Linked DNA regions of Macaca mulatta. The protein of the gene in region 2 interacts with the protein of the main gene of each other region in a pairwise test. Links are inferred from orthologs where the notes say so. Each region holds a gene or a part of one and is shown on either strand. Other genes may lie near its edges.

Region 1 (4,180 bases), on a different chromosome or scaffold from region 2:
GGATTACAGGCCCGGCCACCACACTCGGCTAATTTTGTATTTTTAGTAAAGACGGGCTTTCATCATGTTGGCCAGGCTAGTCTCGAACTCCTGACCTCAGGTGATCCACCCGCCTCGGCCTTCCAAAGTGTTGGGATTACAGGCGTGACCCACGGTGCCCGGCCTAACTGTAAATTATGAGGACCAAGCACTCCTTATTTTCTCTTTCCTCAGTTTAACTTATTTAAGGCATTACTGCAGACTAAGCCTAAAAGTAATTTATTTTCAAATGATGCGACTTACTCTCTGGCCTAGACTTCAAAGATGTCAGTATAATGTGGATTGTATATAATTGTTTAAATTTTACAAATAACATACGCCTATTATAGAAATTTTGGAAAATACAGAAAAGTGCAAAGAAACAGGAAAAAAAAATTCCTCCATCCGGTCAACAGAGTTACCATTATTCACTTTTTAGTTCCGCTCTATATTATACTTCTACAGTCGCTACACTACTCTAATATCCTGACTTAGTCACCTTTTACATCACGAGTATTTCCTTGGGTCATTAAATATCTGGCACTTTTAAAGTGTTTACGGGGTATCTTATTTTGTAGTAATGCTATATGTCCTGGTTTTTACAACAGTAAGAGAAAAAGCTACAGCCTATTACAAAACACTTCCTATATCAATGCGCAAAAGAGAAAGGTGGACATAGAAAAGGGGAAAAGTAACGTGAGAATCAGCAATAGAGAAAAAATAAGTGAGAATCGCTTAATTAGAGGCAAGATAATAGGGCTAAGTCACATTATTGATTCTTGACTTTAGGACAAAAGGGGTACATGTTACGCACCTGTGTTCCAAGTTTATAATTGCACCTTGAATAGCGATTTATTTAATTAAACTCGCGGTTTTACAACCTAAGCAAATACTGCTAATTCTCCCCCGACTCAATCCCCCTTGAGGCCGCCTTTTAAATGCTCCGACTCCCTTCAGAGAAACCCTCGAGGTAAAAAGAAAAACCTGTCTGGCAATCCGGACCTGCAGTCGCCACTATAACCAGAGTAGCAGGCAGGTGTGTGCTAACTAAAGCCACGGCCAACAGAGCAAATATACGCCTACAGCGCAGGCTCGGAATCCCCTAGCTCTAGGGCCGCGCATGCGCCAATGTAGCTTCGCGCTCGGGTGGCTGAGTCCGTCACAGGACAGATGATCAGGGTGCGTCCGCCTTTTCCTTCCCCCTTCTATCCTCCTCCCCTTTCCCCTCCCCTTGTCCCTCCTTCTTCTCCCTCCTCCCTCTCTCCCTCCCTCTGGCGTCTCCAGCCGACTTACGCTTCCTGTCCGCGGCCTTTGGCGGAAGAGTGTCCCGCCTCTTCCGCTCCACAGCGGAGGCGGCTGTGGCGGTGGCCCTGGTGGCGGCGGCGGCGGCAGCGGAGCTCGAGCGGTTCCTGTCAGGGTCAGCCGGCGGGCCCCCTGGGTGGTCCACCTGCAAGTGGCGGAGCGGTGCCCCGGGGATCGATGGCGATGAACTATAACGCGAAGGATGAAGTGGACGGTGGGCCCCCTTGTGCTCCGGGGGGCACCGCGAAGACTCGGAGACCGGATAACACGGCCTTCAAACAGCAACGGCTGCCAGCTTGGCAGCCCATCCTTACGGCTGGCACGGTGCTACCTATTTTCTTCATCATCGGCCTCATCTTCATTCCCATTGGCATTGGCATCTTTGTCACCTCCAACAACATCCGCGAGATCGAGGTGAGGGGAGGGAGCTGTGGTGGGAGTTGGCGTTGCTCGGGAGGACGGTCCTACGCGCCCGCCCCACTCCTTTCCCAGCGCCCTAAAGCCAGTTGACAGGCAGACCCCGCGCCGCCCCCCACCCCCTTCCCTCTGTTTTTTCTTTCTCTTTCTGCGGGTTTCCTGAATTTGCAGCTTTGTCCTAGCTTTGTCTTGCGGTTTACGAAAGAGCAAATCGACGGGATGAGCTGAGACGGAATGAATGTTTAATGCAGAAGATGGGTCAGGTGGAGAACGCTTCTTCAGTAGGCGGTTTGTGTGGTTCCATGGGGGATTAGCGGGGGTTGTTCACGGAGGTAAAAAGAGAAGTGGGGGCGGGGGCAATTGTAGCTAGGTAGATGCAACCCTGAGTGAATTGACAGGGTCAAAAGTGTCATTACCTTTGTGGGCGTTATCCGAAGACACAGAGATGAACACCTTGGCCATTGTTGGGAAAAGAACCAGAGTCGTAGAGGTATTGACGATTCTAATATAAAGAAGCTGTCGCATGTTATCAGGTCACGTATGAGGACTTACGACAAATGTGCATAGTACTTTTCATTTTGAGCTAATTCGATATTTTCAGTTGTGGGGCAAGATACACAGGAAAGATAACCTGAAACTTCAATTCTGGTTTTGCTTTTAGGCTACGTTTATTAATGGGCCCTACATTTGCTGGTCTTTTTTTTTTTTTTTTTTTTTTTTTTTTACAAAAAGAGCCAGTGACCACATTCAGGGAGTAAGTTGTCCACTGTCTACCAAACATTTTACTGATACTAACTTTGCTGAATATGTAAGACATGACAGGAAAACTTGGGGAAACATTTCTTTGTCAGAAGCACAGTATCTTTATCTGTAGGGGTGAAGATGGTTGATAGTACACTGTATTAATATATGCTGTATAGGTGTCCAGTATTAAGCATCTCTCATCTTTTCTTGCATATCTGAGAATGTTGTTGTTTTCTAAATCTATTTGAAAGGGCAGGAACTAGTAAGAAGTTCTCTTGATTCCTTCTGTTCTATTTATACACACACACACACATTTTAATAAATATACTTACCTATGTGATTTAATGGGACTTTGAGAGTAATTTTATTTTTAACTACTGAAATAGGGATGGGGTTCCACTTTAATTTGCAGTGTTCTCTCTAAAAGCAAGATTCATGTGTTTTGTAATTCTACAGTGCTTACTTCAGTGTTGACGACAGTAATGAGAATAGTATCTATAGCATAACTAGTTTTAAAATTTTTTACTAAAAATTTATTCTCAATTTAATAACTAAAGAGTTACAGTATTTTTTTCAGCATGTATTTTAGTTTGTTTTATCACCTTAATCTCCCTAATAATCCTGCAAATGTAGTACTTCTTGTTCTAACCATACTAGGATCACACATTATATTAGTATATGGGCAAAGTGGTGTCATGCAAGGAACATGGGCATTGGCTGGGGTCAGGCAGAGCTGGTTTTAAATTCTAGCTCAGCTACTAACCATCTCAGTTTCTTGGAAAATTTCCTTAATCTCTCTGAGCTTCAGTTTCCTGCAAAATAGGTAGAATAATTCATATCTTCTAAGGTGTGAGAATTAGAAGCAATGTAAATAAGATGTCTGGCAGTAGGGATCTGTCTCCTGATCCTTAATCAGGAGATGAGAAAGAGTTTGAGATTTGACAGTAAACTAGTTAAGAGTATTATAAAAAATGAGACAGAAACTCAGGTGTCTTGACTCCCAGCTTTAAGCTTTCACCCTACACTAAGATCCTTACTGCAATGTTAATAAAGTAGAAGAAAATAATTTAACATCTGAAATTTGAATGATTTTATTTAAACTTCTTAAGATAAGAGGAAAATAGCAATAATTTGGAATTGTGTATAAGTTAGTATTTTCAGAGCTCAACTTCCATTAATATTTACCATAGTAGAAAAATAAATGTTTAACTTTTCTTAAAATCTTTGGGTTTTGGAGTAAAATAAGGTTCCTCACACTAAGTAGTAGACAAAATAGAAATTTTTCAAATAGCTCTCATGTGTAATTCTGATTTCAAGTTGCCTGAAGAATCTGCTGCAGCTTAGCCTGGTTAAAAGGGCACTGAAGAGTCAGGGAATTAGGGTTGAAATCCCACCTCTGTCACTCTGTACTTTGTGATCTTAGGTATAATTTTGAGTCCAGTTTCTTTACTTGAAGAACCAAAAGATTCAGATTAAACTGCCTCTAAGAGGCTGTTCAACTCTAAAATTCTATGATATCCAATTCAAATGTGATTTTTAAAAAACTGGATGTGTTTAAATTGTATTGCCTTTGGAGCAAGAGGAAATGAAAACTAAGAATAATTTAGAATTTTTTACTGACAATGAACATACAGTTGTGCAGACAGAATCCACATATGTATTTTTAAAGTTTGGATGCTGGATATATAGAGAAATGCTT
Region 2 (3,500 bases):
ACTCTGGAATTGGAAATCTTTTTTTGTTTTTGAGACGGAGTCTCGCTCTGTCACCCAGGCTGGAGTGCAGTGGCGCGATCTCGGCTCACTGCAAGCTCCGCCTCCCGGGTTCACGCCATTCTCCTGCCTCAGCCTCCTGAGTAGCTGGGACTACAGGCATCCACCACTATGCCCGGCTAATTTTTTTATTTTTTATTTTTAATAGAGACGGGGTTTCACTGTGATAGCCAGGATGGTCTCGATCTCCTGACCTTGTGATCCGCCCGCCTCGGCCTCCCCAAAGTGCTGGGATTACAGGCGTGAGCCATTGTGCCCGGCCTGGAATTGGAAGTCTTTATCTATGTCTAGAATCTTCTCTCTGTTCAAAGTGTAGGCAAGGAAAGGGGTAAGAATGTGAATAAAACTATGTGGTGTATGGAGAAAATATACACAAGCCGTGGCAGTGGGCAACTCACATCCACTTTCCAGATGTCCGTTGCCTTATCTAAAAAGGAATCTATCTGGCCTGGAGGACGTCTAAGGTCATTCCCAAAGATAGTCTTTAAAAATTTTTTGTTTGAAGTCTTATAAGCAGGAAGGCTCCTATTCTTCCACTATGTCTAAAAGCTGCAGGGTGACCCTCCCACCCCTGCCCAGCCAACCTCTGCCAGTAGGCAAGAGATTTCTGAAAATTACAGTAGATCTCATGGAACCAGATAAATTGTTTTCATTCTCTCACATCTCACCCAGTGAGGTAGTAAGGCCATGTATGTGTCCCAGGAAATATTTGACTTTTTGCTTTAAAACTGGAATTTCCGTAGTGTAAACCTTTTCCTTGAGCCACTGCCTTCCTCCTCTATTGGTTTATTCAACAAATGCTTTTCAAGCTCCCACAACGGGCCAGGCCCCCAAGGGATTAAGCCATGAACAGGAAAGACAAGGTCCTTGCTGTCATGTAACATGTGAATATAGTTATAAATGGAGAAGGCAATGAGAGTGTCAAACACCTGATCACTAAAATTAAGTGTTTCTTCCTCAAGGAAGGAAGTGCTGACAGTTCCACCCGCTATGTATTTCTCAAACCCATACCCTATCAGCCCTTAAATGTTTCTTCCTTGAGGAAATGCCCCCCCCATTTATAACTATATTCACATGTTACATGACAGCAAAAAGCTTGTCTTTTGTGTTCATGGCTTAATCCTTTGGGGGCCTGGCCCATTGTGGGGACTTGAAAAGTATTTGCTGAAAAAATGAATGGAGGAGGAAGGTGGTGGCTTGGGGAAAGGTTTACACAGAGTAACCTTTTAAAGCTGAAAACTGCAGGATGCATAGGAGGTAGCCATGCCAAGGGGATGAGAATCAAAACCTAGGCACGATGGCTGAAGCTTGGGGAGTGGTGATAAAAGTAGGGGAATATGACCCAGGAGGGGTTGGCACAAGCAGAGCAGGGAGGAATTGTGGGCCAGGTTTATGATTTTTGTGCTTTACTGCAGAGGTCTTGGGAAGCCCTTGGAGGGTTATAAATAGGTGACATCACACTTTGGACCAACAATAATGGACAAGAGTAAGATCTAATAGGAGACTACTGAAATAATTTGGGGTGAAAGGGTAATAGTCTATTGGTAGCAGTGGCCGTAGAAATGGAAATAGATGAGTTTGAGAAATACATAGTGGATAGAACTGTCAGTACTTGGTGAAAGGCTAGACGTGGGCGTGGGTTAGCAGGTGATGTCAAGAATAATTCCTCGGGGCCTGCCTTTGTCCTAAGTGGGTAGCATTTGCTGAAAGAAACTCTAGAGAGGTACCCAGATTTCTGGGGTGGTGCTGGTGATAGAGGGTGGAATCATGAATTCAATTAGAAATGTCTCCCAGTTTCCTCAGACTTAATATGCCCAGTGAAGGTGATGAATAGGTAGCTAGAAAGATGTGTCTGGAATTCATAAAAGAGGTCTGGGCTGGGAATTTATGATGAAGAGTCGTCTGCTAAAAATAATTTTTAAATTCATGACAGTTATTGCTGTTTATGGAGAGAACATAAAGTTAGAAGACAAGAGAACTTGGGGGCAAGAGAACCTAGGGGCAAGAGAAACTAGGTTAAGCAAACCACCAAACTTATTAAAGGAAGTAAGGCCTGTTGATGGGTATCTAATTTTGGGATAAAAAAAGTTTTGTATAATTGTCTATTTGCTATCGCTTAAAATGATAAAATGACTTGATTGCGATGTTCGGAGTGGTGAGATCCTAGGGATGGAAAGAGGCTAAGTCTTGCCTGTGGGCACATCATCGTCAAGTTCACTGCTTTGACTAGAGAGTGTGGGCTGCAGAATAGAACACTGGCCTTTGAGTTGGGAGAACCTAGCTCCCACTGTGATCAGTGGTAGGCCTGTGAACACATTCTGGTCCCTCTTGGTACTTCAGCCATCCCATGAGCGGGGTACTAGAGCCATAGATCTGCCCAACACTTAGCTCATGGCAAAAACAAAATGAGAGACTAGATGGGAGAGCCTACGTCAAGAGTGAGCTCCAAGGAAAGTCAAGGCATTTATAGTTGCTCTTGCTATTTTTCTGGAAAAGGTACATTTACTGTAGAGGGTTTAACTTGGAAATATCTGACATAGTCCCTGGGCATGGATAATTTGTCTAATGCAGGTCTTGTGTGGAAAGTGTGTGTTTAAACAAATTTGAATAATACTTAAATGTTGGCAATTTCATGCAAAATTTGAATTTCTGGGAAAACTCTGAAGCTCTGAAATGTTTGACTTGATCTTTCCTTGTGTCCATGATAGAAGCTGAGAAGCTCTTTCTTCCAGTGTCTGTACTCCATCTGGCTTGCTGAACTTGCTGGCCTGTCCTTGTAGGCATTTGAGTATGAGACTCCTGGACTAATACAAAAAAGGACCACAGAGCTTCTCAAAATAATTCCTTATAACACAAAAATATTTGTAAGGCAGGAGGGTAGGAATTGATACTCCCATTTTATAGATGTCACAACGGAGGTCACACTGATTTGGTGACTTCGCTACTTTGTGGCTAACCTGGGACCACAGTCCATGTTATTTGCCTCCTTGGTCATTCATCATTCTTTCTGTCCCACCTCTCTGTTTCTGAAACAGTAGCCTCAAGGATCCCAGCAGAAGCCAAACTCCTGACTCTTGGGTTTTAAAAATATCTTATTAAAGGGAGATTGGTAATTTTAGGAAAGAAACACAGCCCCAGTGCTCAAACCTTGGGAGAAGAGCAACAACTGGTGTGAGAAAGCAGACGAGGTAGAAAGTGGGGTTTGACAGCTGGCCTTCCATCACCCAATAGGGATTGGTGGGGCTGTTGCAGGTGACACAGGTGGCATTGTACAGGAGAGATACCAGAAAGTACGTCAGGAAGCTGCCGAGGAGCACGACTCCGTGGAAAATGGTCTGTGGAGGGAAAGAAGCAAACACTGTTGAAGGTAAACTGAGATTAGGAGGCAGGGTAATCAAACTACTTGGTTAACTTTGTTTCAAACTATTTTTGAAATGCAACAC

What was found.
Region 1: the proteins of ATP10B (region 2) and TMEM30A interact in a protein complementation assay, tested with the Homo sapiens proteins (2 studies listed by IntAct, with this or other methods). The link is inferred for Macaca mulatta from reciprocal best matches to the Homo sapiens genes ATP10B and TMEM30A.

Annotation. Positions count from the first base shown.
Region 1 is NC_133409.1:110,454,710-110,458,889, forward strand, and holds the start of TMEM30A (cell cycle control protein 50A), read left to right. Parts: upstream 1-1,380; 5' UTR 1,381-1,497; coding exon 1,498-1,734; intron 1,735-4,180. UniProt on the Homo sapiens protein: Accessory component of a P4-ATPase flippase complex which catalyzes the hydrolysis of ATP coupled to the transport of aminophospholipids from the outer to the inner leaflet of various membranes and ensures the maintenance of asymmetric distribution of phospholipids.
Region 2 is NC_133411.1:169,432,896-169,436,395, forward strand, and holds part of ATP10B (phospholipid-transporting ATPase VB), read right to left. Parts: intron 3,393-3,500; coding exon 3,205-3,392; intron 1-3,204. UniProt on the Homo sapiens protein: Catalytic component of a P4-ATPase flippase complex, which catalyzes the hydrolysis of ATP coupled to the transport of glucosylceramide (GlcCer) from the outer to the inner leaflet of lysosome membranes.